Lonchura striata: one gene and its partner. The main gene of each other region encodes a partner of the protein of the gene in region 2 in a complex. Links are inferred from orthologs where the notes say so. Each region holds a gene or a part of one and is shown on either strand. Other genes may lie near its edges.

Region 1 (16,040 bases), on a different chromosome or scaffold from region 2:
AAAGGTAGGCAAGCTAAATTCTCAGGTTTGCAGAACCAAGAAATCTAGCTTCTAACCTACAAAATTAAGCATTACACTTCAAGAAAACCAATAAAAAAACCCAAAAAACCAGAAAGCAAGGCATAGTCAAGCTCTGCTGGGGTGAGGTTAAACAAGCAAAAAAAACAGACCATCGATAACTAAGGCAAAGACTAAGTTTGAAACAAATCAAGGTTTAAACTTCAGCTCACTCCACTTCCAAAAAAGGAACAATTTTGGAAAAATTCCATTTAAGTGCAAAAACTTCCGTATCAGATAAGACTAATGACATATGCAGATAGCAGCAGCCAGTACCAAATGTCTTCAAAAGAACTTGCTGTACAAATATCTATCTGGCCCATTACAGAGCTTTTCATCTTATTTGAAACATAACATTTCTAGTCCTTCCTTTAAGAAGGGTATTACATGATACATGGTTACATGCATCCATAACTTTTCTATCTTAAGTTCTTGCATATGGAAGAAATACTACAAGTGCAATTATGACAATATGCAGCACTAGTAACTTAATTCTTAGATTTCTAGTCAATACTATCTTAACACAAGAGCAAAAGATCACCCTTCTGTTCTTATATAGGTTTTATACATATATGAGACATTGTCTGCTTTCTGTATTGAAGACTTTCTGTAATAAATATTTTCATCACATTTGAATTATCATGTGAAAACTAAAATTAAAGATATTCCTACTGGGGAAAAACTTACTTTAACATAGCACAATACTGTCACTATTTTTTGTATTTATTTACAAGTTCTCAAATTTTACACTACTACAACATTTGCAATTGAATCTATCTACTCTTAATTCTTTCCAATCGTTGACTAATGTTGTTTTATAACCTAAAAGTTCTATGCATAGCATGTATTTCCCTTCACTACACACAATAGTTCAACTATCAATAGTCATGTTCCTTAGCTCTGCAAAGATCTTACAAACTCCTCATGCCCTAAACTACTCTTAATTAATCCCTGTACTTTTTATGTTTATTTTTTACAAAATTAAAAAAAAAAAAAAAGAAGTCAAACTCCTGCTAGCATTTTCTGTGTTTTTCCACTCAACTACAGTGTTACTACAGGATTTTGGACTTTCTATTATAAGCCTGCTGGAAGTTCATAATTTATTTATACTTTCTCAAGACTGAAATAAACTCTAAGGCATTACTCAATCACACACAAGTCTGGTACAACACAACAGGAAAATTGTATCCAATTAATTGTCTGGCTCCAGCACAATGATTTTCATTTTCAAGGAGGAAACTGTTCTGAGCCCCTGGCAGAGAGATACGTCTTATTGCAAGATGGTTACAGGCCATCTCTCTGCCTGATGTTCCCATTCCTAGAGCAGACTGAAAAAACACTTGCCTATATTCAACAAAAATGTGACAATGCTGAGCCTTTTTCCAAAAATTCTGCCACAACAGAAATGTTTCTAGAAAGACAGACAAGTTGGGTAAATTAATGCATGGTCACAGTAAGATCTAACAAAATTCAGAGCTCTTGGATAATCCAAACTCACTTCAAGTGAATAACATTAACAGGAAGCAAGTATTGATGCAATTCAAAAGAAAATCCAGAGACAATAAATAGTCATATAATTTAGTAGCAATAGACTGTAAAATTGCTAGCTAGAGGGATGGAGACAGCATTCTTTCTTCCTTTTCACTGTCCTGGTTCCAAAAACACTCATCATTTTCCCTTAATGTTATCTATTAAAAGAAATTACAAAACCCAAAAGGCAACAAAACAGCTGAGTATGTATCAACACATTTTGCAGAAATCTAGCTAGATCAGACTCAAATCAACACAACCAAAGTATCACAGTGACACAGACACTCCTCACCCACACGGCCCTTTACAGCATACATAAATTCAGTTACTTTCATTAGATAAATAAGCAAATGAAGCTGTCACATATATTATGAAAAATGAGAAGATAAAGCCAAATCAAAGTATTTCTCCAGTGCCATGTAAATCCACCTGCAAATGATCACTGGATTGCCCAACTAACACATAAGAAAGTAAAAAAATCAGTAACAACCTTATATAACGAAAATGTAGGGAAGCAAGGTTTTGCATTTATAAGCCTGGGACTAGGTACAAACCCAAACCATCCCATAAGAAATCTAAGGAAAACACATTTACTGGCCTTGATTCCAGCTAAGTAACCCGATTCATTTGAGGTTTGTAAAAATTCATTGCAAATACAAAAGGGATTTTTGTTTGTTTTTAAAGCCTAATCAATGTGTTGGTGTTCCTGGCTCAGGATAGATGCAGCATGACTGCAATGGATCAGCTCCAAGAATTACAGTATTAACTCTGCAGCAGTGGCTCTAGATGGTATCTCTGCAGGGAAATCCTTGTCAGCACTGACTTACCTCTACTATAAATGGCTGCCCTCACTCCTACACCAGCTCCTAAAACCATGGGGCTGAAGATGGTTGAAAGCAAGAGCTCCCTACCCCATACTATTCTCATGATCATATCAGTGTAAAATGGGATGGTTCATTCAGGGTGAAAAGCACTTACATAAAAATATTAACAGGTGTATGTGAGGGCTGCCTGACATCACCCTCTTACCAGAAGTACCTAAGCACTGGTGTTTCACCTCTGTGCATTACAGCAAATCCCAGGTCAGTCCCCCAGGGCACTTGGAACATTCACTGTTTCGAAGACAATGTCTTCAATGCAGACTGTAAGCATACAGAAACATCAAGAGTACTGAAAAATAAAACATCCGTTCATCTCTCGGACAACAATCCTAACAGAAAGTTGAAAAGATATAATAGAGGAAAAAACAAATAACAGACACTACATCTATCAAAATAAGTGCTACTGATACATGGGAAACTAAACACAACTTTATATAGATCAGCACTAAATAGGCAAGAGTATCACACAGGATTCTCTACTGGAAGCAGCAGGAAAAAAATATTCCCACCAAAACCCCGCAATTCCAAATACTATTTTTCATATCCCACTTAGTTTTTAAAGACAAATTTACTAAAATACTTCTGAACAAACAGAACATCCACAGAAAATGTTCTGTGCTTTCCTGCCTCATGCCAAGTTCTCAATATCCACAAAACATTTTATGTAATGTAAAGCAAGTAACATATTTCCTCTTTACTAATTTTGTTTGCTTTCTTTCATATCAATTTACTTTACTCCCTAGTACAATACAGCAAAAAAAGACTATCTAATCTCAACTCCTGTTTGTCAATGTATTTCTTGCATTAGTGGTCCAAAATTAAGTGCAGTATGCTAGGCAGGGTCTAATAAGCTGCAAAGAGTTCTTCCTTTCCAAGCGCAGCCTCGTGCTTGTCCTGAGGCTCCTGTCTGCCCCTTCAGTCAGCAGGGCAGGTCCCAGTGAGTGGCAGCCCTGCCCTTGAGCAGCCCAACTCACCCCCACCACACCGACACTCACAGGCTTGGTGTCATCCCAAACACAACCAGAGTAAACGTCACCGAGTCCTTCAGATCACTTTAAACTGGCTGTGCCTTTGGGCTGGTTGTTTTCAGTTGCTGGGGTTTGGTATGATTGGTTGGGTTTTCCTTCTTGGATTTTTGGTTGGTTCTTTTGGCGTTTGGTTTTTTGAGGGTTTTACTGGGTGGGGAGAGGGAATCTGTTTTGTTTTTGTTTTCTTTAAGTATTTTGTAGTATTTTTGTCTCACATATTATAAGTCTAGAAGTCATAATGCACAGCTGTAACAAATTTCCTTTACTGTTACAGGGACCACGGATTTCAATATGCTACTTACCACTTCCATCACCTATATATGAATGTGCTCAATTCAATTCGTATCCACTTTGAATTAAATGAAAACAACAGCATTAGCTACCATTAACACATCAACTTGTGCCTACACCGTTTTTTTCAGTTATTAAAAATGACTGGTTCTTTGGGGTGCTTTTGATCTAAGAAAATATTTTTCACAATTTCTCAGAGCCTTTGGTAAACTGTGGCAATGAATTCCCTATAAAAGGTACTTATAATAGGAACTCACAACAATGTCAGGTGCTGAATAATTTGAGATTTTGAAAGCCTGGATATCTATTTGGAAGCTTCAGGTTTCTCCTAAGAGCTTCTACAACATCTGTCAGAAGCATTTCAGCCTGGAAGTCACATACAAATTCTCAAAGGTCTTCCACTTGCTTATTTTTAGAAATGAAAACAAAACCCAAAAAAACAAGTTTAAGATTATTTCAGTTACACAATTTTTAAGAGTTTCTTCCCATATGCAGTTATTTGAGCTGAACAAACACATTTAGATTTTCTGAAGTATAGCCCACTTTTTCTTTCACTTTGATTCACACTTTTTGGAACACTCCATACTCAGCACAACATCTACTTCCTACGTATATAGTGAGTCACTTTTATAGGCACCTATAAAAAACCCAGATTCATTAACTTGTAATTACTAAAAAAAAAAAAAAACAAAATGAATTCTAATTATAATATTCTAATGTTATCATTGCATGAAAAATCCACTAGTTAACTAGGAGTTATTATGCTGTATCTACAAACACAGGCAGGAAGAGGCATTGCACTGGTTGTCTATAAAAATATTACTATGCACAGAAAAACTCCAAGAAAATCCCACCACCATCTCCTTCCACCTTTATCATACACACACTTAGGCTTACATTTATGTTTAAAATATTTTAAAAAGCAAATCCAACTTTAAGTACCTTCTTTTAATTCCTATGTATTGGTGATCTTGAAAACTCATTCTATTTGCAACCTTAATAATGCTAGTGTTACATAGACATTATCTCCCTGGGCAAATAACTTTTTTCATGCATAATTAAAGCACCTTTATACAAAAGAAACATTCACATCTTCCAGCTGTAAGTAACATGTTATCTTCAGCTTAGTTCTACTTATGCAACGTATTTCAGCTCATACCTTCCTCTGCCTTAGGAAAAAAATTCTGTACTACTTTCGTTGGCATAGCTTATTGATGCTCCCTCTCTTCAGGTTCTACCCCTGTTTACAGATAATACTGACAAAATTGTTTATAGACTATGTAGTAAACAGGATCACTCACATGATTCACTAAACAAAATAAAACTCCAAGCCCTCATTAAAAAAAAAAAAAAAAAGAGTAATAAGTATAACTGAAAGGCAGTTCAAGAGGCAACAGAGCCTGGACTGAGTGACTGGTAGTGCCCAAAACTGTTATTGCCAAAGTCCACAAGTTATGAAACTGTAGTCCCAGATCATTAACAAACTATTTTGAAATATCTGAAGGTTTTTTCTCATTACTAAATGAACATTTGAAGGTCTTTTATATTTTGAAAAATCCAGAATTGATGAATGCCCTATATATAAGGTTCTAAGAAATGTTTACTAATACTCTGACAGAGAGAATTTCTGCAGGTTTAAATATAGGTCATTGATAGGATAATGACAATTTCCTAAATGAGATGTGCTTATTAGCAGTTATGTAAACAATGATAATAGATGTTCCTGCACGTAAATGTTCTGGCATGTTTTTGTTTATATTTTGAAACCACCACAAAATTTTTTTAAGTAGTTCTTGTAATTCAAGATCATGCCTGTATTTCTCAGTATCTTCTACCTGCTTTTTCACAACAGCATTTGATACCTATTATCTCTAATGGTACATTTCCCTCACCCCTCCAACTGTCTCACAGTTCACCATTCCAATACTCAACCAGATCAAAAGCCCGACCATACAGCCAGCAAACAAGCATCAAATCTGAAATTCTCCTCACTGCTATACCCGTGCTTTAAACCTTTACAGCACCACATCTAACATGAAGTAGGAGTGGATTCCAGGGCATGATCACAAACCCATTCTTTAGTTGTTTACTATCGCTACAAATGCCTACCTTGGCAAGTTTCATCAGACCTCTGTCAAATCTTCACATGATGTTATTTCCAGAACAATCAAATATAATCCTTTTAATTACTGCTACTACTAAGTTGCTATTTTAAAACAGGTAAGTGAGCAAGCATACGAATTTTTACCTATATTAGAGGAGCCAACGCTAACTGAAATTTAAAAACAAACAAAAATCCTCATAGCTGACGTTTTTTGAAGCTTGTCTATTAGTTAGCAGACTTGCTCGACACTCAGTGCTTTGTCAAATTAACCATCTTGAAAATGACGGACCATATTTGTAACCATAAAGCACATGGGGGTCTTAAAATCTTGATAAGTCATAAGAAACGTCGATAAAAAGCTATATGCATAATACGTTTTAATTTAAAAACAGAGCAATAACTTGGAACATTTTACTTTGTTGAATCAAACAAGAAAGGTTAAAGACTAAACTGAAAGTATTTCAAACACTTAAGTTTTCTAGAATCCAAGAATGCAGATCACATACACAATAGAGCCAAAGCAAGATGCTTAATGAAACGTTTAATACAGATAGCAGTTTGCACAATTACCGGCAGGTAACTTGAAAGCCTTAATCTAGCCTTAAGAAATTAAATGCTTGTCTTGTCCCATCACGTCGAAGTATTGCGTAATATAGGATAGTTAACAATGGAATGTTTAAGAACTTTTACTGCCTTTTACTGCTTCTCATGCTGTGTCATACTACTGAAAAAATCTGCATGAATTACAGACCATATTATTCTTAAAATCCAGGGCTACACTGACTGCATATCACAGGAGGACTTGGTGTGAAGCTAAAAAACCAGCTGACTTAGTTCATGTTAAGTTCTAGAGCATAACATCAATGTAATTGGAAATAAAATACAGTGCTGAGCAACTGCAGTCTGCCCTTTGTTAATTTTTCGCTGGATATTTAAAATTAACTTGACAGTCATTAAGTAAAACAACTTTACTTGTCCCAGTTCAATCCCTAGTGGACAAAACATGCACTACAGGACCCCTCAATTTTGCTTAACAAGACTGCCAGACTTTAGAGAGGAACACTTAAGAACACAGGATGTATTTTAAAACCATTTTCACTTACAATAAGACTATTTCACGAATGCCACCCATTACACTCCTGTTGCCAGTAATAAGCCTCCTATTGGAACCAACAAAATACTCCACCAAATTTCAAAAGGACAAGTAAGAAGAGTGTCAAATAAGAAGAGTATCTTTTTAAAATCCATTTTTCAACACTTCTCATGATCAATTTTCACACATTGATAAAACAGCGGTTTCTCTGCATTTGGAAAAAAATACTATTACACCACTATATCAACACAATGTACTTTCACATTTGCACATCTCACCTCAAATTCACCTATTTCCAGTAATAAATAAGCAAAACCTTTCAACTAACCATTTTCAACTGTTAGTTTCATATACTTTTCACAATATTCAAAGTTTCTGCTTAGTAAGAAATTACCAACTTACCTGGAAAATTACCACTTCAAAACAAATCTTACTCCTGCCCTATGCAACCATATTTACAACAGCAAAACCAGAGTGATCCGCAATCTACAGGGACTTGCTAAAACAAATGGGCAGTTTCAGTGTTTTTAAACGAACATCTTACCTTGCCTGTCTTGTGATCAAACCAGACAAGAGCATGGTTCCTGGACAGCACTTTGCAGTCAAACGTGGCATTGTTCTGGGCTGGCCGGCAGCGAGCCACGGAGCGGCCGATCTTGACAGGCTCGTCCAGGTAGACATGACGCTCCTGAAACGGGTGGGAGTTCGGGCGGCAAGTGAAGATGGCCAAGGCTGAAGGCATCGAGGACAGATTGTGGTTGCCACACCAACCAGAGATGAAGAGAGCCTCTTCTGATGCAGACCGTCCTCCACAATTTTAAAAACACCTCCACAGCAACTTTATATTAAAGCAGGACAAATATTATCATATGAGAGGCCTAACAACTCATTATTTCAGTGTGTAAACTAATTCTGGCAATAATCCAGTGAAAAAGTCCCATTATGTCTTTTAATATCAGCAGTGGCCCAAAAAAAGTCTAAAATGTACAACTTTCAATCCATCCTCCTCTGGAAGAATAGGAAAAAGCATCTGATTCCTTCAGAGAGAAGCAAAGGCCCCGTGAAAGAAGGATACAACGTCTTAAATCCAAGTAGATGAGTCATACAAGTACTTTTGTTTGTAACCTCAACTGCCTTGTTCCCACCCCCCTTCCGTAAACAACACTGACCAAAAGTCTGACCAATGCAACATTGAAGCAAGAAAAGGTTTAGGGAAGGGGGATGAAGGAGAAAGATTAGTGTCCTCTCACACACGGCACAGATCAGGAACTGGAAGGTGAATACAAAGCCCTCGTTCCACAACAGGGACCTAATGGTTCACCCAGCAATCCGCATTTCACCATCTTCCTGTGTTAAACCCCAGCAGAATAGGTGGTCCTCGATATAGGATGGAGTGCGAGAATTACACTGGTTTTCTCCCTTACACCAGATAAAGCTGAACTGGTCTACAGCTTCTGGGAGCCGCTCAGATAAGGAACTTGATAAGGCATGGAGAGGCTCCCAACTCGCCTTCTCCCGGGGACAAACCAGCGCGTGGGAAGGGTTCTTGGGGCCGGCCCGCGAGGTGCCCTGACAGGTCGCTCCGCGGCGGCGGCTCCGGCAGCGGCGGGGTCGGTGCGCGTCCCTCGCGGCGGCTCCGCGGTGCTGTAACGGGGGCTGCCCCGGCAAGTGCCGGCCGGGAGCCCCGGCGCGGGGCGCGGCGGCGGCGGCGGCTCCGCTCAGCCCCTCCGCAGGTGACTGCGCATGAGGCGGGCCCGCTGCGCACCCCCGCGCTCTCCGCCCGCCCAGCGCGGCTCCGCTGCCCCGGCGGCGGGAGAGGCCTGGCGGCCGGGCCCGGCCGCTCCCGCTCGGTCGCTCTGCCGCTCAGGAGGCCACCGGCCGCGGGAAGTTTCCTCCAACCTGCGGGGCCCAAAACAAACCGGGTCAGGCGCGTCCCTCGGCGCGTCCCCCCGCGTCTCCTCGGCCCCGCGGGCGGCGCGGGACGCGCCCCGCTCCCCCCTTACCTTGCGCGCAGCCGCCGCCATAGCGCCTGGAGCCCTTCCCGGTGTGGCCGCGGCGGCGGGGCCGGGCGGGGCGGGGCCGGGGGCGGGCAGCGTGCGCACCGGCGGGGCCCGCGCATGCGCCTCGCGCGCGGCGAGGCTGCGGCACGGGCGGGCCCCGCCCCGCTCCGGGCGGCGGGGAGGGGGCGGCGGGCCGGAGGGAGCGGGGCGCGGGGCGCGGGGTGCTCCTCCCGAAGGGCGCGGCTGGGACGAGCCGGCACGGGGCAGGTCGCTGAGGTGAGTGAGCCCCGGCCCCCTGCCGTCGCTTTGCCCTCGCTGTTCTCAGCTCGGGAGGGAGGGGGCGAGCAGAGCCCGTCAGCTCTTATAAATAAGCGGGAAGGAGTGGCCCCAAGTTGTGTCAGGGGAGGTTTAGGTTGGATTTTAGGAGAAGGCTTTTCACCCAGAGGGTGGTCGAGCACTGGAAATAGGCTCCCCAGGGAAGTGGCTGTGGCCCCAAGACTGCCAGTTCACAAACCTTTTGGCCAAAGCTCTCAGCTCTCAGGCACACGGTGGGATTCTTGGCAGGCACCGTGCGCAGGGCCGGGAGTTGGACTCGATGACCTGATGCCAACTCAGGATGTTCCGTGGTGCTGTGAACGTGCGCAGCTCAGAGGAGCAAGCTGGGGTGACACGTTCTCAGCAGAGCTTGCGTGAGAAACTGCAAGAGTCTCCTGAACATCCTCCTGCTTCCCCTGTGCGCGTCTGGTCGTTTTATGACGGCAGATTAAAAAGCTCGGGAGCCGCGGTGTGGTTTGACGTGTCCTGGCGCCGGAGGAATGCAAACATGCCATGTTTGCCATGTCTTATTGCAGGTTGGCAGCTGGAGCAGGGGCACTCCTGGAGCAGTGGCTGCAGGCACAGGACTGAGGTGGGGTCACTGGTGCTGTGTCTTCCTTCAGTACACCACGGAGCATCATCCAAGGTCATATTTATGCCTGTTTTCTAGAAGCCAAGGAAAGGTCACTTGTCAAGGTCACCCGGTGCCAAACGAGTCTCTCCAGTCCAAATACATTTTTAATTCCGTCATTCTCTGTAAAGCAAACAAGTGGGAATTGTTGCTGTAAGATAGATGTTGGGGTCATGCCAGCACTATAATTACCCGGTGACAGGGTGTTAGGATTAGGGATATGGGAGATGGCAGAAAGAGCTGGCAGCCATGGAGGACAGGAGTGGAGCTGGGCCAGGCACTTCAGCAGTGGATAAGGGGAAAAGCAGGGATCAAGGTAAGGCAGGGCAGTGTATGAGACAAAGCATGTTTGGTGTGTTCTTAGTTGTAGCACAGTAAAATCTCAGGGCTGTCTTCATTTTTTTTTCCTTTTCTTTTTGACTACTCTGTGATTTGGGGAAAGGAGGTTAATTCATAACAGACTAGTTTTTTCCCCAACAATCCAGTGAGAAAACAACAGCAAAACTAGGCTGTAGATCTGTGTTTGAAACAGAGAAATGAAATCCAAGATTAAAGACAAGTCTGATTTTGTGAAGACAAAAACAAAAAACTGATAGGTGGAATGTTTAGAACTGTTTATCTGTAGTTTTAATTCTCCTGACAGGGAAAAAAAAAACCTGGCACATCCCTTAATGGCTTTCATCAGCTTATGAGATTGTACTACTCTGATAAATATAATCATAATTTGATTTTACTAATTTTTTTAGTAAGTGGAAATTTAGTGTGGCTGTTGCTTACAGCACACAGGGTGCCATAACTAATCAAAGGGAGAAGGAAAGGTATAAAAGGAAGGTGGAGAAAGTGGGAATAAATTTAGGTCCATTAGGAGTTACATTTGAGGGAATGAGTTGCAAAAGTAGAAATAATTGAGAGCACTTTGGAATTGCAAAGTGTAAAAAGTGGGGATAAAGGGTACTACAGGTGTTGGAATGAAAATAATGTTTCTGAGAGCATTTTTAATATTTTTGTGTACATGTTTAATGGAGAAAGGAGACTGAAAGTAAAATTAGAGATGAAAAAAATCCATTACCATCTAAGAGAATCAGGGAAAATAATAAACAGCAGTGGATACCTTTCTCTGATGTTATAAGTATTTATACTAACAATCATATAACTGTGCCATTTAAACTGTAAGCCACTGGCATATCATGTTTTCCTGAACCCTTCTTCATCCCCTGGAGAAATCCCACTCTGACAGGCTCACGCAATGGTATGAGAAAACCAGATGGCAATGGTATGTGCCTTTCTAGTTCTCTGGCGCTGCCAAATGGCTCATGTAACAGCTGAGCTGTACCCACTGCTCATCGAGGACATTAATCTGACCCTTCCTTCTCTGCATGGGTGCCAGCTCTCAGTGGAGCTGCGTGGGTGTAGTTATCCCTCAGGCTTTTCAGCTCCTATTTCAAATTGCCTGATGAGTTCAGAGGTTATCAGGGGCAGAGCCAAGGCTAAGATGAAAATACAGAAAGAGGTTGCATTCTGAAATGAGGATACAATTATTGAATGGGTGTTACGATGTGTCTGCTGCTTACCAGAAAGTGTCCATCCCAGACGTGTGGAAAGCAACAGGTGGATGCGGAGTTCCGTGTGAAGCGCTCGGCCGCTGTGCTGTCTCAGAGGATGAGGAGGGAGAAGTGTCAGCCCCTGTCTCGCTTCTGTCGCACAGCTGGAGCGGGCAGGGCGCCTCGCAGCCATGTTGGGTACGGGCAGCAGGAGCTCACCGTGCCCCTCCGTTTTCTGGGCAGGAAGTCCGTGGAAATGTTACCGTAGCCATCATAACTGCGGGCAGGAACAGCCTGCTCCGTGTCCATCTTGGGTAAGGGAAAGGGAGCTCTGCAGGGGACTGTCACTGTCACATCTGTCCCCTGCAGAGCTGCTGTCTGTTTCAGGCGGATGAAATGCAGCTTACATAGTTCATGTGCATACCTGAAAAACATCTGGATTTTGGCTTGAGTGTGTCAAAGTCTTAATGACTTGATGAAAAAATGAGATCTTTTGCTGAAGGAAGCCTGTCCTGAATTCTGAGCTAACTGACTTAGAAAGAAAAACACCGAGCAGCATTATAGGCAACTCAGTGCCAGATTTCTGCCTACGGAGCAATGATGGTCTAAAAGGCTTCCAAAATAATTAATATATATCAGACTGAGTTTTCAGTGCAGAGGTATGAACCAGTTGCTTAGCGGGAGATGCTGATTCCAGAGAAGTTGTTACATTTGAAATGACTGAGGCATGCTGTATAGCAAAAGTCCTATTTCTAGTGTAAAAATTAAGATGCAAACTGATAATGAAATCAGAATAAACAGATAAGGAGAAACTTGAAGATGCAGTTTTCTATTGAGTTCTCATCCCTGAAACTCATTCATCAACAATTTATCCAATCAGTTTTGTACTGATTTTCAGAAATACAAATTCCATGTATAATTGCCATACCGCATTTAAAATATTACAGTCTAAGAAGGCATTTTCTGCTGTATAGAGCAGTGTGGAAATATAAAGCAAAGTTTGAACTGTTACTTATATCCTTATGTATCTTTTGCAAAACAAACTTGCCTCAGACGTAGCTTCTAAAACATTCTGAACTGAGCTGTCAAAAAGAAGTTTTCTCCAGTGTTAAAAAAAGCGGTTCTAGATTTAGTGAAGGGGTTACACATTTGTATTTTAGTGCTATTCTTATTCTTTTGTTTCAGACTTATTTTCTGTTTGTGATCTTTTAACTCTCTGACTGGTTGTGTAAAAAAAAAGTGAGTTATCTTTCAGCATTAATTTTGACAGAATAAGCAACTACCAGTTTCATCCTCTCTTGTCAGGTAGGTTCTCCATTTATTCAATTTTCTTTCAGATCCTTCCCTGCTCCTATTTCTGGTTTGCATTAAAAAAAGGATTCACGTATCCAGTATACAAATGAGTGTCTTACCAACATAATATTTACATTAATGTAATATATGTAGTGAGCATATACTGAATGTACTATTCAATTTTGAATATGTAATAAATATGAATGTTTTATACAATGATTTAAAATCTATTATTATGTGCTATATATCCTATCTGTTTATATATATAATGTACATTGTATAGTATGTTGATACTACATGTATTTGGTATATATACATAAGTATAATGTAACATGCATACAATTAATACATGTTATGCTAATATATAGCTAATTTTACATGCAGTATTTTTTTATTTCAAATTAAATCAGGCAAGTTGAAATATCTGGCATTTTCACTGCTTTATTATTTTAGCAGAACATAGTCATCATGTGACCAGCTCTTATTTGCTTTTCTATTAATATATCAATTTAACAGTCAAAATTAATATTGACTTTTTTGAAATGTTTGATGTTTTCTGTGGCTATTTGAAAAATGGAAAAGATGCTTTAAAAATAATTATGACTTTTTGCATCTGTGTGTATTTAACTGAATGTATTTATTAGCCCAAATATAATTTTCAAATACAAATAAAATACTGCTTTAAATCTTGAGGCGGGGGATGGAGGGGAAGATGAGATGAGCAGATGATGTTTATGCAGTACTTTGGTGTTTCTCTGTGGATGTGAGCAGTCTGCACAGTCACTCCCTGCTGAAGCTGATGGAACCTGGCCAGCCAGCAGCCAACACAACATTTGCTGCTACCTGATAGAAACGATCCTGCTGAGAGACACAGGACAGCGCAGCTGTAGGAGCAAGATAAGAGCATGGAAGAAAGCAAGGCAGGCTCAAACACTGGCCAGTTGTGGATATTTAGAGCCCAGCTGTCCCACCTTGGCCTTTTCTCATTTTTATTCCAGCAACTGACATCAAGGGCATGCTTTTTCTAGCAGTGTCTCTTGTCCAAACCCTTCCAGATATTGACAGATGGCTGTATTTCTGCAAAACAAGGCAGAGTTCCTGGAGATTTGTAAGAGCACATTCCATATGCAGAGCCCTAGTGTTTTATGAGGCTTTATTGCAAGTTGTATCAAAATACTCTCAGTTAGTTGGTTCCCCAACTCTGAAATCTCTGCATTGATTCTTCTTGAAGAAGAAACTCAGATGTTTCTAAATGTTACAATACATGCAGAAATATTTTTCTTTCTCATCTGAAGGAAATAATCATATTTTGTCAAAACTAAAATGTATTTAAATTAGGTAAGTGAAAAATTTTTCTGAATCACTCTTTATTGGGAATATCGCCAGTAGGTAAGAATCCTTTCTTCTGTACTTTATCAGGGATCACATGTCTGTTCTCTTAACTTTCTCCTGACAAAAGACTTATTTTTTAAGCATCTAGTGGAATTAATTTACTGTTTACTAAAATGTATCACTCTTACTAAGTACTTTTATTATTATTATTTCACATAGATACACTTCTTATTCACATGGAAATTCAAAAAGAGGCCAGCAAATCTAGAAGGACATGCATGATGATAATAGCTAAAAATTTTGGTTTGCAAGAATATAAACAAGGGAAGACTTATAAGAGGCAGTGACATGAAATCTTTTAAACCAAGTGATAAAAACTTTTGGCTAGGCCATTTCAATTCTTAAATGGAAACAGCAAATGAAATTCCACTGAGACTCATTGCGCTGAGTTGAACTTAATAAAGTTCAGTCTTAGTCATGTCTTTTTGTCAGGAGTAATCTTCTACAGAATTTAGGAGTTAACTACTTGAAAAATATGTGAGTCTTGCACGGTATCACTGCAAAATACCTGAAGAAGCTGGAGACAGCGAGAGCCTTCCCACAGAGCCCTGCCTGCCTGAGGCTGCACACTGCAGAACCCCATTCCTATCTCAGTTTGTATCTAACATTCACTTCACTACTCATGGTGTATCATAACTGAAGGCTGCTGTATCTCAAGTTATTACCATGATAATTTTGTGTGTTATAATTTTGTGTGTTATATGTTTATTCATCTTTTGTCTAGAAAATTACTCCAGTGATCAAAGCATACTTTAATTTCTAGCAGTTTGCTTTCGATAGATAAACAAATGTTGTTAATGGGCCTTAAGGAAGCAGTGCATCTAAGGAGTCATACATTTTCTTTTAAGTACGTATAGATGTATTATCTTGGTTTTAATATTTGCAAGGAAAAAAAATGGCATGTAGTGATTCAGGTAGCATCTCATCTACACCTACTGCTGCTGACTGTTCTAGTAGTAGTCAACCAAAAGTCTAGTGTGAATAATTAAATTAAAAGAGGTCAGGAGTCTGGGGGAGATGCATGAATGATATTTTATTTTTCTCTTTATTGTTAAATAAAGTACCTATTTAGCCCTTTTAACTCTACAAAGTGTTTCATAATGAAATATAAATAGCTGTTGGACTGTGCTAAAAGAATATCTGAAAGCTCTTATATTATTAAAGAGCTCGGGCTTTGGCTAAGGCACTAAAAGAGGGTTTAAGAGATTTGGATGCTTTTTTTTATTACCCCAGTTTCCTGTGAGGGTGAAGCTGTCCAGCCACCAGCCAGAGGGGTATTTCCATGTGCCTCCCGTGCCGTGCTCAGCGGTGCATAGGACACGATGGAGACACACCGGTTAATTACTTGGCGGCCACGGGGTCCCCAGCAGGTGCTGTCACTGACACGTCCAAGAGAACAGAAAGCGGATTGATCCGTTGCCTGCGAGCTGCCGGGCGGGCCGCGCAGAGCGGGGCGGGCTCCCGGCCCGGAGCGGCGCCCGCAGCCCGAGAGAGGAGCCGCCCCCGGCCCGCCCCGCGCCGCCCGCCCGCAGGGGCCGGGCCGGGGCCCCGCAGCCTTCCCTGGCGGGCCGCGCGGGGGCGCTCCCTCCCTACGGCCCCCGACCCCCCCCCCCGCTCCCCGCAGGAATGGTTTGGCCTCCCCTCGCTGCCCGCTTGGCCACTCCCACTCCGAGCGGCTCCGGGGGGAGCGGGCGGGGCGACGCGCGTCACCTGACGCCGCGCGGCGGGGCCGGGGTCGGGGCCATGTCGCGGCGGGAGCGGGGCCCGGAGCCGGAGCTGGGGCCGGGCGGTGCCGTGGTGGCCGCGGAGGATGCGGAGCCGGGGAGTCCCGATCAGTGCCTGTCGGTGCTGCCCTGGGACCGCTTCTCAGCCTGGCTGCACTGC
Region 2 (16,660 bases):
AGAGCTGAGCTCTGCTCTTGAGGCCTCTCCTGAGCAGATCCTGCTAAATGACAGCGGGTCACATGAAGCTGCTCACAGCCAGAAATCACCCACAGAGCCCCACATGGAACCTGCCCGATGACAGCATTGTTCTGCTTCCCATTTCCTTCACAAAAAGAGGCAACTGCAAGGACACTCATTCTGTGGATCAGAGCACGTGCTTCCAGAAACAGCCCTCTCTGACGTGACCAAGGCACAATTTGATAAAGACTTCGTCTTCTCAGTGTGCACGTACAACACAGATCCGTGGAGATCAGGCTGCTCCATCTCTTTTTAGATGGATATTGGAAAGCAGCACAGAGCCCTTGGGCACCCCAGCCAGTACGTGACAGCCATGAGATGAGCCACCACAACAGCAATAAAGTCCTTTTCATGTCAGCAAAAAATACATATATGGGGGAAAAAGAATTAAAGAACTATCAAGGACATCTGTAAAGAATGTATGGAGAAAAAAACCCAAAAAAGTCGCTGAAAGAAATATCCGGATTTTTTAGGGGTTCTGCGCTGCGAAGACGAGCCCGGCGCTGGGTATCGCTGCGGACAGCAGAGAACCGACCCGGGACCGACGGAGCCGCCCAGGCCCGGTCCCCGCCGCGGCCCCGCTCGCTGCGCTGCACCAAGATGGAGGCGGCGGAGCGAGGGGCGGCCGCGCCGAGGGGCGGCGCCGGGGCCGCCGCCAGCGGGGCCGCCGTGCGCGGGGGCGGGCGGCTCCGGCCGGTGACAGCGGCAGGGCCGTTCGGGCAGGCCGGGCCGGGGGCAGCGCCCGCCCCGCACACAAAGGGGGGCGATGGCGGCCGCTCACCGCACACAAAGGGCCGCGGCCGCGCTGCGCCGGGCGGGGCCGCGCGCGGCACGCCGGGAGCCGCCGCCGCCCCTCCGCCCGCACGGCCCCGCCGCCCGCCGCGGCCCGGAGCCCCCGCGGCGCCGCCCCCTCCCGGCGCGGCCCTGAGCCCCGGCGGCTCCCGGGACGGCCGGTCTCAGGGCGGCCTCGGCGCCGCCGCCGCCCCCGGAGCCCCGCGGAGCGCAGCGCGCACCCCGCGCCCCGCGGCCGCCGCTCCATCCCCGCACCGCCGGCCTGGTAGGCCGCACCCCCCAACCACCCCCCCCACCCCACGCGCAACGCCGGCGGGGCTCCCGGCGCGCAGCCCCGGTACGAGCAGAGATCCGCGGGCGTAGGTGCCGCGTCGCCCGGAGCCCGCCGGGGCGGGCGGGGGCGGCGGCGGCGCCCGGCCCGCACTCACCCCAACAGCTCAGCGCCCCCGCTCCAGCGCCGCCATGAGCAGCACGGCACGGCACGTAGGAGAGAAATCACGGCGCTCTCGCGAGAGCCGCCCGCGGCCGGGGGGGGAAAGGGGCGGGGCCGCGCGTGCGCGCCTGGAGCCCGGCGGGTGGCGCTCGCGGGCACGCGCCACAGGGGATGGGGGGGCGGCCAGTGAGGGTGGCAGCGCCCCCTGGCGGCCTGGGGAGGGAGAAACGGCTGAGGGGAGACGGGACCGGGGGAGGGGAGAGGAACCCCTGAGGGAATAGGGAGCCCCGGCTGAGGGAAGACATAAAACCCGCGCTGAGGGGAAAGAGAGCCCCGGCTGAGGGGAGACACAAAACCCGGGCTGAGGGGAGAGGAACTCCTGAGGGGAAAGAGCCTCGGCTGAGGGGAGACACAAAACCCGGGCTGAGGGGAAAAAGAGCCCCGTCTGAGGGGAGACACAAAACCCCGGCTGAGGGGAAAGAAAGCCTCGGCTGAGGGGAGACACAAAACCCGGGCTGAGGGGAAAGAGAGCCTCGGCTGAGGGGAGACACAAAACCCGGGCTGAGGGGAGAGGAACCCCTGAGGGGAAAGAGAGCCTCGGCTGAGGGGAGACACAAAACCCCGGCTGAGGGGAGACACAAAACCCCGGCTGAGGGGAGAGGAACCCCTGAGGGGAAAGAGAGCCTCGGCTGAGGGGAGACACAAAACCCCGGCTGAAGGGGCAGAGCCCCGGCTGAAGAGCAGGCAGAACCCCGAGTGAGGGAGGGAGAGCTCGGGCCAGGCCAGGCCAGCGGGCACACTCCAGGCCCTCAGGAAACCTCCATGGGGGGATGCCTCCGTGCTGGGCAGGCAGAGCTCAAGGGAGGGACACGAGCCTTGCGCTCGCTGGAACTGAAGGACCAGAGGATCAGGCGAAAATGCTCTGCCTTGTCCGCATGTCATGAAGCTTGAGTCCAGTTTCCAACACACGTGGAGCAAGTTCTGAAACTGCCCAGCAGCCCTCAGGAACTGTGTACAACCAGCCATTTACAGTCACAGGTTCCAGTCAGAGATCCTGAATAGGACAGGAGCAAATGGACCATGGAGCTGTGCCAGGGGAGGGTCAGGCTGGAGATCAGGAAAGGTTCTTCCCCCAGAGGTGCTGGCACTGCCCAGGCTCCCCAGGGAATGGGCACAGCCCAAAGCTGCCAGAGCTCCAGGAGAGTTTGGACAGTGCTGCCAGGGATGCACAGGGTGGGATTTGTGGTGTTTGTGCAGGGCAGGGGTTGCACCCCATCCTTGTGGGTCCCTTCCAACTCAGGATATTCTGTGAATATATTTCAATTTCCTTTGCCTATTCATGCCTGCTACTTAATACACTCAATCAAAGCAACTGCTATCTAGTTTCTGGTTTTTTTCTGGCTGCACAGCAAGGACCAAGTTGGAGGGATGTTACTCTACACTGAGAGAGGGAAGATGAAAATGCATCACAGTAATTCCAGATTATATTAATTTAGAAAAGAGAAAGTTCAACATTTTGGTCATTGCAGTATTTCAGTCAGGTACAAAAGGCTTGGTAATATGCAGAATACATGGAATTCCCCCAGGATACACAAAACACTTGAGAAAGGCTTTCCCATTGGGTTTTTTATTCCCTCCTGAACAATTTCTAATAGAAAAGGATTGTATACAAGAGCACTCCTGTACAGAAATCCCTTAGATCTACCAGTCTTGCTGGGTATTCCAAATGTTCACAATGTCTCCAGCGTTCACTGTCTCTCAGTAAGCACAGGAACGAGTCACCTTCTGCATCTATCAAAAGTCTCACTTGGGAAAAAGTGGCATTAAAAATGTAAGCAAATAGTGGAAATGAGATGTTTACCATTCTTGGAAGAATATTCTTTGATCACGGGTAGGACAGAAATCTTTTTTATATAAAAGTGTCTTTAAAAATACCACAGTACTGAGAAACTCCTACAACACTGCACCTCAAATTCCACACAATACAGGCCCTGCAGTAACTATGGAACACCAGACTCACCTGTGATGTGACATTAAAATTCTGTGTATGAGGGAGGTTTGGTATGGCTTTGAGGCAGACCTAAGCTCCCTCTGCCCAAACCCAAATTTGTGGGAGGCCAAAGAGCTTTGATCTGCAGGTGCTGTGCTCTGGCAGGCTCTGAGCACACCAACAGAGCAGGGCTGGCTGCTAACTGGGAGCACTGGGAAGGCTGGGACAGGTCTATCAATCAAGAAAGAGGAATCCTTCAAAAAAGTGTGCGTTAGAAAGGGTCCTTAACCCCAGTCTTCACCCCTAAAACAAGGCAAAGTTTGTTCTGAATAGGACTGACTCCTTCAAGTGCTCTGCTGGCATCTGCTGCTCTCTCAGCTGCTCTCAGCAGTGGCCAGGTGACAGTCAGGCCAGCCAGACACTGAGGGTCACTCACTGCAGAGCCCAGCTGCCCCGTGCAGCCAGAGCAAACCACATCCCTGCCTCTCACACTGTGGTTTCTCAGTCATCTCCTGCTCCTTCTAGCAAGCACAATAATCACAACCTGCATTATGTTCTCTAGCTACAGACAAGGTGGATTTAAGAGCCATCTGCACAGCTGGAATTACTAACTAAAGCTCATAAAAAATAACAAAGGGAGAGAAAATGAGCCATCACAAGGGAGGATACATCAAATACTTCAGTTAAGCATCTGAGTGCTGCAGGTACTAAGACAGGGTGCAAGCTTTTGCCATCAACACTTCATAAAAATGCAGAGAAAACAGCCCACAACTTTAAAGATAAAACAAATATACAAGGAAACACCTGAAACAACAAATCTTTGTCAGGTAGTTTCGTAACAGTCCCTTGAAGGCTTGGAGATGAGGTTTGTGTGGCCTAGGCTTCACAGTCTGGCAGATCTTCTCTCCCCACCTCGAAGGACTCCTTGCTGATCAACAGCAGCTCACGCAGCTCTTTGTTTTCAAGCTGCAAAATCAACATTTTTGCTGAAATAGAAATGAGCTAATTCACAACTAAAGGACTATCACAGAAAAGTGCCAACTTCATAGTTAGAAGTTGCTGATCTTTAAACAATCCCACTCCTTCACAGATACATAAAGTTTGTACATTACACTTTGTAATGCCAGCATTAGTACAGTGCTGGCACACTGGAACCAATAATTTAAAGTTTATCTTCTGGCTTAATTTGTTTATATATAGTTACAAAAATAATACGAACATTAAAAACTTAAAAATAAATAATCATGTTCTGCATTTCCTGACCCCATCCCTAAATTTTTTTTAAGTCCTTGACAGGAACATAGAAAACACAGAGAAAGTCTGGAGACCTCTGTTCTTACCTCCAACTGAGCCAGTTTCTCCTGAACTTTAAAGAACTGCTCATCATCCACTTGAACAGCTTTTCTCATCACCTTTCCCATCTCACATATTCTGTCTATTTGACTTTCAATTTCCTAAAAGACATAAAATTAATACATTCAGTAAGTTGAGGCAAAAGCAACAGTCATAATTTATCCCTTATAAATCACTTACTTCCATCTTCCTGATTTTGGATTTTCTTTCTGTTTTGAATTTTAATAATTTCCTCCCAAGGACTTGAAAGCCTTTCTGTCTTGTATACTCAAGAATAAGAACTTGTACCTTATTGTCCTCTATCAGCAGTCCTTTATCAGTGAAAACAGTGCAGAGAGACACAGCAGGCATCAAGATAAGGCACCCTGACTTAAAAGGAAATAATTTCAAGTGTGCCAAGGTCTGAGACAGCATTCAGGTTCATGATTAGTAGGCAGCAAATTTTATTTAGCTTTATTAGAAAAGCCTGACTGAATTTATTAAGACACCAAAAATAAATGCAAAGATGATTTCAAGTGTGGAGTAAACAACTTTACCTCAGAAAAACATCATGCAACAAAAGTAGAGCAAGTAAGATCAGAGCCTCCTGAGGCAGATTTTACAGAATTTGTCTAGATACAGCAATAATCCTCTGGAAAATGCATTTTGCTGAAGGTCAGAAATGCACATGGAACAAACACTGACAAATTCCAGTATGAAGCAACAGTTCCTGCTTGAAGAGCAATACATCACATAATGTGACAGGTGACAGGGTGGAGTTTCTTTAAGTGCCCATAGTTTTTCTACTACCTCTGAAAGATAAATTTATCACAGAGCAGAGAATTGATTTTGAAGTCCATTATTCAGAAAGAATGTAAACAAATTAGAGCATTCAGAAGACAGCTGGAGAACACGAGAGACTTCTGGGAAGAAAGATTATGATTTTTTCTAAACAGGAAGATGGTTATACTGAGAACATAGTTCTTTTAAAGAAATAAGCAGTTTGTTAATGTTCTCCAAATGGTGGGGAGGAAAAAAACTCATGGACTTCACCTGAAGTACAGAAGACTTTGTCTAGACATTGAGACAATCAAGGGATATCCCTTCAAGGATTCCTTCAGAGCCCTTTCAGCTTTGCATTGTCAAGTTTTGTTCAAATGTAAAACCTTGATAAACAGCAATTCGTGCACTCAGGGTGGCACTGGAAAACAAACCCAGCTACACCTTCACATGAGTTAAGCAACTTAGAAAAGAGAAGTGAATTGCCACATATCAGTGCACAGAAAGACATGAGAGGAGTTAGGCTGGCTCCAGTTCCAATTAAAAAACTACAAGATATGAGATGTCACTGGGTTGAACCAACCTGCTGTTCTCTAAGCAGATAAAATGCATTTTAAAAAATGCCTAACACAATTCCTAAGTCTTAAATGGAAATGTAACATTATTCTATTGTTAATAGATACCTAATAGGAAACAGGCAGCAGTTATCAGCAGCCACATCTCAGAGTACTGAAGTCACTGAGCCCAATGTACAAAAAAGGACACTTTAGACTACTACACAGAGTATCTGGATTTAAAAACACTAGGGAGTAAAATCGCTTAAGAACTAAACATATACAGTTCACAGAGTTTAGGAGTTTTCCCCTTTGTTACAGCTACTGAATAGGAATTATAACAACTTGTACATCTTTGATTTTACTACAGAGGATCAGGCACATTAAGCTTAAGCCAGGGAATTCACCACCCAGTTAAAAGTAAAAGCCTCCACCTGGGCTGTGAAGGGGCTGTGCCTCTCAGTGTCCTCTGGGACAGCTATTACTGGTTGTGTGCTCTGAAAGGAGCAGAGGGTAAAATACCAGCAAAGAGAGTCAAGATTTGGAGAAAATGTATTTTGGGGCACAGACACTCCAGGAATGGAAACAAAGATTGCATGACAGCAAGCAGGGGACAAGGGTCTTGAGCACTCTCCTGTCCCCATCCCACCTTACCCCAGAATTAGCCTGATGGACTTTCAAGACTGGCTCTGCCTCTTCACGTTTTCTCCCTTCCAGCAGCTGCAACATCTGCTTCCTGTACTTGCTCATGATGAGTTCCAGCGCGTCCTGGTGCTCCTCCAGTGAGACCCACAGCTCTGCAGAACACAGCACGTCAGGGCCACGACCGGCAGCCACAGGAGCCCCGAGGCGCTCGCTGGGTACCAGCTGCGGGACCGGCGCTGCCCCACCGCTCCCCGCCCCGGCCACTGCGGTGGGGCTGCGCGGACCCCCTCGGCCGAGGAGACTCCCTGACCCGCGACCCACCGGGGCATCAGCGCCGCTGCTCTCCTCGACAAGCCCCTCTGGCCGGGACCAGCGGCCGCGCATCCCACCGGGACAGCCCCGCACACCGCTCAGCATCCCCCGCGGCCCCGCAGCACATCGCCCGCCAGGACCCGCCCCCGGCCCCGCTCACCCCGGTTCTCCTGCTGCAGGTCGCGGATCTGCGTGTTCTCCTGCGCCAGCACCACGTGCGGCCGCAGCCGGGACGGGTCGGGTCGCTCCGCCGCGGGGCCCGGGCCCTGCCGACGAGACGCGGGGGTCGGTCCGGCCGCCTCGGGCCTACCGAGACGCGGGGGCCGGTGCGGCCGCCCCGCCCGGGCCCCGCCGAGGCGCGGGGGCCGCCCCGCCCGCGCTCACCTGCTCGGCGCAGCCCGCGCCCGCCTCCCGCATGGCGGCCACGCGCCGGTGCAGCACGGCCGACTGGTCGATGAGCGACTCGGCCGCCGTGTCGTGCTCCTTCAGCCGCTCCAGCAGCGTCCGCGCGTCCGTCAGGATCTTATCGATGGTGCAGCTCATGGCGGGCGGCGCTGCTCACCCCCGCGGCGGGCCCATGTCCCGCGCGGCCCCGCCGCCGCTCTCCCCCCTCAGCCGCTCTCGGCGCCTCTCCGGCCCCGCCGCCGGGCGCGGGCGGACGCGAACCCGCGGGGCCGGGACGCCGCTTCCGCCCGCGGCCACGGCGCCGCCAGTGCGCAGGCGCGGCCCGGCGCGAGCCCGCCATCCGCCAGCGGCTCGCCTGGCGGCGCCAGAGCGCCACGGCCGGCCCGGGGGGCGGGGCCAGAGCGGGGGCGGGGCCAGAGCGGGGGCGGGGCCCGGGCTGCCCCCGCCGCTCCCGGGGGATGCTCGGAGCTCTGCAGCTTTGGCTGGTTTTGGGGTGGTTTGGGGGCGTTTCGGGGCGCCCCAAAGCCGGTCTCCCCCGGCACACGGCGCCCCAAAGCCGCCTGCCCCAGGTGGATGTGCCCCCGTCCCACGAGCTGCCCACGCCGCGGTCCCGCGTGTCCGAGCCCCCCGTGCCCCGAGAGCCCCGGGCCCCGGCCCCAGCGCGGTGGGGGGAGCCCGGGACAAGGCCGGCTCCGAGAGGCCGCCGATCGACACAGGCTGTTTGCGGAGGGCCGGCGGCCCTGACCCCGGGTCCCGCTTATCTCTGCGGCTGCTCCCTCCCAGCGCGATCAATCCCGGCTGGGATCTGCGGGGCTCCCATCTTATCTGATCCTGCTGTTTGTCTCTTCCAACAGTAAACATCCGCCACTCAAAATAACAAGCTGTGCAATGCTGACTCGCTGCTTTGATTCTTATTTGCTAACTGAAGCTACTGTTGGTGATCTGGGGTGTCCTTGAGGCTTTGTACCACAAAGTTTTGTTCAATAGCACCAGCTTCATTAACAATGTTTTTCAACAATAATATTTCAGCAGGACTGCCTTTGATTTGAATAATATTCCTAATTTAAATCCCTATTTACACAGACACATGAGAAAACTCCAGGATGCTCTATCAGATGAAGGTTCTTTATGATCCCAGAGATAATCAAGGCTGGTGCAGAAGTGCTGAACGAGATAATTTTATAAAATCAACAATCTCAAAATATGCACACAAAGCAAAAGAGAACAGGGTAAGCAGCTGCAGTTGGAATATTTCATCAGAATCAGATTAATTAGTAAAGTATGAGAACTATTCTGCAAATTTGGGAAATGTAATCCTTCTGCTAGTTTGGAAATAAAAGCCCAGACCATGTTATAGCATATAAGGACCTTCTGGTCCTTCCCTATTTTTCATCTTATTAGAGACTACTAGAAAGTTAGGACAGTTTATTGGAATTCCTTTTTCCTAATAGGCAAGTCACGAACACTTGGAAAACTGACAAATATTGCTTTGTGGACCATCCTGGGTATGGAACAAGTTGGGTAAAATCGTCCTGTCCCAAAATGGACACATCGTCCCTAAGCCCTAGCCAGCGCTGGTTTTCCTGTCCCACTCTCACATCCTCACATGACCCCTCGTGTGCAGTTCAGCACCTGCTGCTGCCTCCCTCTGCTCCCATTCCCAGCTCTGTGCCTGCCTCCAAAGCCTCTCCCAGAGCTCCCATTTCCACAGAGCCTGGGCAGGCTCACAGAGCAGGCCTGACACAGCTCCATGGAACGAGCTCTGTGTGCCAGAGCCATCTTTTCCTTTTTCACTTTCTCCAACACAGGGATTTCTGTGAAACCAAACTTGCAGTCCCTGAGGTTCCACTTAATTCAGGCACTCAATGAGCCATTGAGAGATGTGGCCCTGGGAATTCCAGTTCATCCCTAGGAAATCAGCCGCAGGAACCCACAGTCTGGGCAGAGTGAAGGATCATTTCATCATTTCATCGCTGCAGGAGCTGCACCAGGATGTATCTGAGCTGCCTGTTCAGCTCTTGTGTTTATAGTTCTGATTTAACACTCACTTCCCCCTGGTGTCAGAGGTGCCATCCTGGCCCTAGGCAAGAGCAGGGGTAGGTGAGGGCAGCACTGCTGTACCAGACTGTCATTTCAGGATCAGTTTATTTCCTCTGTGGCATTCTGGCTTCTAGGAATAAAATTCCACGATGAGAGAGATGAGAATCTATGACACCACTGTCACACTGCCCTGAGCCCGTGCTCCCACTCAGGGCTGGGGCTCAGCCGCTCTCCAGCAGATCTGGACATGGAATCATTTGTCCAGCTCCAAGGGACAGCAGAGTGAGTTCCTGTGGCGCCAGGACACAGAGAGGATCCCAGTAGGACAAAGATCCTTGGTTTAAATGCTGGGAATGCTTGTCACCAAAACTTTGAGTGTGTAGCAACAGAGCTTAAACAAATCAACAGATGAGCATTTCTGAGTAGGGGTGCCTTGTAATTCCTTTGGCTTATCACAGCAATTCTGTGTAAACTAAATAGAATGTATAAATTTGGCCTCTCAAACTTTTTAGTGTTTAACTTCAATTCGATTAAACACTTATGTGTGTGTACAAAGTGAAAAATGGGGTTATGAGAGGTTAATGTTTTAATGCTTTTAATAACTCTTAACCACATGGCTGTATTTTGTCAAACAGAACATGGGGTTGTTGTAGCAGGAGAAGTGAAGGCAGGATAGCAGAGTACTGGGACACTCAGAACAACAATGCTGCTGCAGAGCCCAAACTGCTCCCAGGCCATCTTTGGAAAATCAGAAATAGTATTTCTGTGCTGGGATAAATACATAACAGTTCTGAGTACAGCTGAGAAGGCTCTTGCTAACATTAGGAAAATCACAAAGAAAAGAAATCTAGCTGGACATAAAGTGGACAAAATTGCTCAGGGCACAGGAGCCCCTCCCCTATGGATACAGGCTGAGAGAGCAGAGACTGTTCAGAAGATGAAGTTGTGTGGAGACCCCACAGCCATCTCCAGGGTCTGAAGGGGCTACAGGGAAGCTGGAGAGGGACCCCTCATCAGGGACTGGAGGGACAGGACAAGGAGAAATGGGTCCAGGCTGAAAGAGTGGAAATTCAAGTTATATACATGGAAGAAATTCTTCCCTGTGAGGGTGGCAGGCCCTGGCACTGGGTGCCCAGAGCAGCTGGGGCTGCCCTTGGATCCCTGGAAGAGTCCAAGGGGCCAGGCTGGATGGGGCTTGGAGCAACCTGGGATGGTAGAAGGTTCCTGCCCATGGCAGGGGTGGAACAGGATGGGATTGAAGGTCCCTTCACATCCAAACCATTCTGGAATTCTATGAACAGATCAATATCAAATGGCAATGTCTGTGACAGATGGAGTGACATCTAGATATTGGAATTAGAGAACAGAATAAAGGGCAAATCTTTAGAATACTTCTTGGATTTTCAGTAAAATTATATTAATTGTAAGTGTGGTCAGCACAGGTAAAAACATTGTGGCTAAGTGTCTGAAAGCAAAAGTCTCCCATGGTGATGCAGCTGGGCACAAGCTTTTAAAAATGGAATGTGACAATTCTCATTTCCATTAGAAGCCCTTCCTTCAAAACCCAACTATTTCAGCAGTTACAGCTGTTTAAAAAGCAAACCAGCCCCCTCTCACACCACACACCCCAACACTTTCTGACTGCTTGCTTTTAAAATTAAGTGGTAGTGTTAAGACAAGCTCTCAGCTACTGTCACAATTTCACTGGTTTTGCCTTCAACAAAAGTGTAGCACAGAGACTCACGGGCCAGGAGCCCAAAGGAATCCTCCTCTTGCACTTCCCAGCCCATACTTCAAGGTAGATTAAAGTGGGATAATGCAGAGTTGTCCTGTGACAAGAATTATTACCAAGGAACTCAGTCTTATTGTTCATACTAATTATCTTGCTTTGATAAATCTTGAGGAGTCACCCACTGCACCACAGCACTCACACTTATGAGTCTAATATTCTTTCTACTGTTAAAACAAATGTCCTCAAGATGGAATCCAGGCTGGAAAAAAGGAAAAACATTATCATTGATAAATGGATACATCCAGTTAGTTCAGTCTCAGCAGCAAGACCACTGCTGATAAAATGCTGAGCAAGGCATTCCAGAATAATTATTTTGTAATGCTTAACATAGAGTGTCAAGATCTGCTTTATGGAAATGAGGTCTTGGCTTCCCTTTGCTGTACATATAAAGTACTGCAGTGCCTGTAGTTAGGAGTATTCTCTATGAACTACCAACTCTGGGGATTGTAATCAAACTTAATTGATAGTTTTGCTTTCTTCCACTTTGTGCCTTGCTGGAGTATCTGATTAACAAATCTGGTCTTCCAGCCAAGGGGAAACAGTTTTGGCAGAGGGAACTGAAAGGGGGAGGTGTTAGGATACCCAGGAACTTTGTCAAGGTTGAATGGATGGGTTTATTGTACCTACTCTGCCTTCAGCCACTGCAGATTAAGTTTAAGAGAATAAACAGGAGAAACAGTAACATTTTGTGGGTCCTGAGACTTTCAGGTGAGTTTAAGGCATCTTCAGTTTTCTTGAACTGAAACTTCACATAATGTTTAGTTCTTCAAGGTTGGCCTTACAAACCTGTAAGAAAATTCAAGGTGAAACTATCCAACAACTTCATGATTAAGAAAAAAATGAGTCTTAAAAAGATTTAAATTGTTCTTCCTTTCTGGTCTGCTATTTCATCATTTAATCCCACAAAAGCATTTAAGAATTTAACAAAAAAATGCATCTTCTGAGCTATTTCTCGTCCAGTTTGCTAATGAGTAGTTGTCTGATACATTTGATGCAAAACAAAGAGTATTTCTATTATCTCACACTAAAGAACATCTCTCTGCAGTGCCACATGGGAGCTGTTCACTGTGCAAAGTAACACCATCAGACAAAATCAGTACTCACAAGGCTTTGGGCTGCTTCTCACCCGGGACTGAGAGGTTCATCCACACCCATGAAGAACAATCCCAACAGTGTCAGCATTCCTGAACCTTTGGAAGATCTATAAATAATAGAAGAGAGGGGGAACAGAAAACTTGGGTTTTTTTATTAATTCCTCAACAAATTGGAAAGGGAATGCAAGGTCTCAGATCTCTCAGATTTTGGCATGGATGTATTTGCCAGTGTATTTTATGCCTCTGAACGATTTTATTTCTCTGACACAAAAATAGGTAAAGATTAGGTTAGATCATTTTGATACATGATCTGTATTGTTAATACTTCACTTTCTGTAATATTGCTCAGAACAGTTTACCAACAGGAAAGATTTAATCCTGTAATGAAATAATAATTGTTTTAATGTAACCTTTAACTCACATAGAACAACAATTACTGTAATTAGCAATTAGTTTTCTGAAGGCTTTAGTCATTTAGTATTTGACTCTTGCTTTCATCATTTAATGATTTACAGTAATGAGCTGGAACATCAGTATTTTGTACTGAAGTGGCCAAAATAGTTGTCCAGGCATGCTTGCCCTCATGTGACAGATCTCAGATGGCTTGAGGAGAAGTTAGCCAAGAGCAATAGGCAATGCCATCACTTCTGCTTCAGTTCTACTGAAAAACAAAAAAGTGACTGCTGTGCCTTGCAGTCAGGGCTCAGTAGCTCTTGGAGGGCTGTTACTTTGCTGAGATTCTGCCCTTTGTTTGAGTTTTGTTTGACAAATGCTTTATAAATGAGCAGAAGAGGTGGTTTATGTTTCATTAATGAGGCTGATAGTGGTTAATTACTGAAGTTACGTAAACAATCCAATACCAGATCAAGCCAAACGGGTCATTTATGTAGAGAAGATCCAGCTGGAGTAGATGCAATTTCCTTTAACTATTCGGTTACCAAATGAGTCACAGACATGTGGAAACTCCAGTCCAGATGAACAAAGAATTGTGCTTACCTTGAAAATGGATTGTGTCAGCAGGTATGGATCCAGGGAAGCTCTTCCTTCATCTCCAGCTCCCTCACCCACCAGATCCTTGGAGCCAGCTGCCCAGTCTCCAGGGGGATTTGGCTGCCCAGAGCTCCCAGTTTGCAGTGGTGGCAGTGAAGCTGCACAAGTGCTGCAGCAGTGTCCAGGTCAGGCTGCTATCACCACATCTGCTTCTTTTCTGTGGAAAAACGTTTGTGTCCCTTATTCCCCACTTCAGTGCCACTTCTGGATGTTGGCTCATGGCATGAACTCCTTCAGCTCCTAAATTCAGGCCGTATCTATAAGTGACACTTTGTTTACTTACTGCTAGTAAAGCAAGCTTGGAGTCTGGTATTATTTCCTTTGCCACTGAAGCAGCTCTGGGCACGTTACTGACCAGAAACTTCAGCAGTGTTTTACAGAATTGATGTATGTATAGGAAAATAACAGAAAACAGAGCTGGAAGCGAGTTTTCCAAAGTCCTTTACAAGAAGTCCTCTTTACAAACCAAAGCAACTCAGAGAAAACAATTCCTGAGTTCAATCTGGTTGCCCAAACTGATCTTCAAAACAGCCAGTGGAGAAGATAGTACAAGGAACTCACTCCAGTGCTATTTTTACCACAGTAATTGCTTTCTCTAGTTTGTAATTTAAATCTCCCTTACTCCTAAATAACCTTTCTGGGTTTTGATTATTTAGAAGCATGGAAAAGAGTTTATTTTCCTCTTCTTTGCAGCAGTATTTTAGGTGATTCAAATGTGCCCTCAAGTCTCCCATATTTGTCATGCTAAACTTTGAATAGGAGCAGTGATTTATTAAAATAATGTAAATATCTGTATTTACATAAATATATGTATTTAGCCAGTCACCTGGTCTGAATCACTTCATGATTATACAAAATAGTTTCATTACTACAGTGTAGAAGTTAATTAACATTGGGCTAATATTTAATTACTGCAATTAATTTCTACTACAACTTTTATATGGTTATTTTATAAACTTATTTATATACTGATTTTAGAAACTGATTTTACCCTGAATCCAACAGGCTTTATAAACTGAGTTGAATGAGGATTTGATGCCTTTTAAAAACCTGAGCTTCAGGCTTAAGTTCCCCTGGAGTCAACAGGCTCTAAATACCCACATCCTAGAGCTAATTTGAACATCTTATCAGTAAGGTGACTTCTGTCAGAAAAAAAATGCTAAAAATAAAACTCAGTAGCATTTAAAAGGTAACCACAAAATTTCACAAACCTCTGCTTGTTTTTTCAACTTTCATGAGAAAGGCTGGATGAAAAAGTCAATGGGATATTGTGAAAGAGATGCTTCTGTGAAAAAAATATTTGTTATATCAATTGTAAAACCTTCAGTTTTACTATTGAAGTTTTTTTGACAACTTGTCAAGTTTCTGTATGAGGCTGCTTTTACCAGAAAGACAAGTGCTGACCATAATTAAGCTTAGAACATCATTATCTTCATTTCTGCTGTGTAATCACTGTGTTACAGTCCCCCATCACCACATGTGATCAATGCAGGACATCTGAAAACTTAGAAAACCCCATAATATGCTCAAATAACATTTATTGGTGAGTGCTGTTTGTTCTTGAAAGACTCAACCATTCCACTCCACAGACAGAGTTGTAAATGGCACATGGAAATAAGTAGCCTTAGGGCAGCTCTTTTCTGGACCCCAAGGAATAGAACTATGTCCCTCTCTTGAAGGGTGATGGCCATTTATCCATGAAAACCTACTGTCCCAAAAGAGGATTTTAAGTGATTTTGCTGTAAGTTACCCAACAGGAAATTGCATTTTCCTTTTCCCATCTAATTCCATGCAGTATCCAACAGAAGCAGTTTTTCCTGAGGTGAATGGAGAACTGATCTTACACAGAAGGCAGGTGAGCTCCTCCTGGAGTGAGGAGATTTGCTGGGAGCACTGGAACAGCATGATACCTAACAAGAAAATTCCCTATCCTAAAGGTCACATCTACCTAGGAAACAATGAAAACATCACATTGCAATATTAATTTATTAGAAGTTACTAATAATGGAAGTACTCAGGGGGTTAAGAAGGAAATTTTGCTGAGTTAATGGCAATGTGAAGTTAAGTTCACTGAGGTTGTCAATGAACTGAGTGTGAGCCTGGTGTGTGCCACAGGGGTGTCTGAATCAGAACATGGAGGACAAGGTAAGTGTTTGGTGTTTGGAGGTCTTGGCCTGATCTAGCCTTTCCAAATTAAATTATTATGTCATGCGAAAATCTCCAAATAGTCCTACTGCAATATTTTCCCCCATTGGGAATTGAACATTTTCCATCACCACCCCGACATGTCAATGTGAAGCAACCAAAATGGGAGAATTTTGAATTCTAGCAAGAAAGCAGGATCTTCGTGCTGGGCAGGGAGGACTCTGGGAAGCAGTGACGTGAGGGTCCCCATGGCCTCTGTCCCTGATGACCCAGTTCTGCTGTGATTTATGTGGGCTCGCAGCTGCCCTTGCTCCGACCCCAGAGGAGCTGTGTGGGAAGTTGGTGTCTCGGAGCCGCGGCGTGGCTCTGCCGAGTGTCTGGAGCCCGGGCTGTGCACACAAACTGATAAATAGGGAAAGGCCTGCTGGGCTGCAGCTGGAGCAGAGCTGGGACCGGCACGGGAGAGGAGCTCCCTGCAAGCACCGTGAGTATTTCATTCCCTTCTCTGCATGCTCTGAGGTTAGAAACTGCTGCTCAAGCTATAATTCAGTTTGCCATGTGAAAATATTCCAGGCTTTTTTCTTCTTTACTTCCTTTTTTCTTTATTTTTAAACATCTGACTAAATGAAAACAGCAAATGTGCACTTTTAAATCTGGTATTTACTACTGCCAAGGGTTTGTTCCAACAGTACTTCATTTGACACACAGATTGAAGAAAAGCAACTTTTAAATTCAATCATTTTTTTCCCTTCCCAAAGTACCCAGAAAACTGTGAGCTTCAAGCAACCTCTAACCTCTTACATTAGAATGTATAAAAATTATGCTTTTGAAATAATTATTCATGGAATAACAATTCCAAAGGAAAATGTCAAGATTATTGCAATGTAGTCTATTGGTAAAATAAGCCAGTTCCTATTATGTTTATTATATGGAATATAATAACCAGGAAGGAGCACATTTAATAAGAAGAAAAGTGGCATTTCTTCAAAAAGGAGCTTTTGGGAGCTTCTTGGCACATTAAAACCAGGAAGAGCCGAAAAACCTTTAATAATGCATGTAAGCTGCATACAGGATCAATCAAGTGATCCTACAATTTCCCCTGCAAAATCATTCTTTAATTAAGCAGTGATTACTTAATTGCTTGAGTGAAATTAAATAGATTAGCTGGCATCACACCTACTTGGCACTGACTATGCTCAGTTACATTTTTTTTCAGTTTTTGGCTTAAATTTTCAC

What was found.
Region 1: the proteins of SIKE1 (region 2) and SLMAP are in contact, whole or in part, in a crystal structure (PDB 6AKM), measured with the Homo sapiens proteins. The link is inferred for Lonchura striata from reciprocal best matches to the Homo sapiens genes SIKE1 and SLMAP. Residues at the interface, in NP_079349.2 of Homo sapiens: Ile5, Ile8, Leu9, Ala12, Lys13, Leu16, Leu19, Arg20, His22, Asp23, Ala26, Glu27, Leu29, Val30, Ser33, Ala34, Leu36, His37, Val40, Met43, Arg44; in NP_001291349.1 of Homo sapiens: Leu168, Tyr171, Leu172, Glu174, Ala175, Arg178, Glu179, Met181, Leu182, Lys185, Thr188, Leu189, Leu192, Leu193, Ile195, Thr196, Ala199, Ser200, Thr202, Ser203.

What each region holds. Positions count from the first base shown.
Region 1 is NC_134614.1:12,310,510-12,326,549, reverse strand, and holds the start of SLMAP (sarcolemmal membrane-associated protein), read right to left. Parts: upstream 8,651-16,040; 5' UTR 7,727-8,650; coding exon 7,529-7,726; intron 1-7,528. Other genes in the region: uncharacterized protein LOC110471692, read left to right, coding at 9,102-9,260, 9,836-9,891, 11,505-11,739; protein DENND6A, read left to right, coding at 15,900-16,040. UniProt on the Homo sapiens protein: Associates with the striatin-interacting phosphatase and kinase (STRIPAK) core complex, forming the extended (SIKE1:SLMAP)STRIPAK complex.
Region 2 is NC_134632.1:1,909,112-1,925,771, reverse strand, and holds SIKE1 (suppressor of IKBKE 1), read right to left. Parts: upstream 7,565-16,660; 5' UTR 7,442-7,564; coding exon 7,283-7,441; intron 7,165-7,282; coding exon 7,059-7,164; intron 6,739-7,058; coding exon 6,596-6,738; intron 4,730-6,595; coding exon 4,616-4,729; intron 4,242-4,615; coding exon 4,152-4,241; 3' UTR 2,897-4,151; downstream 1-2,896.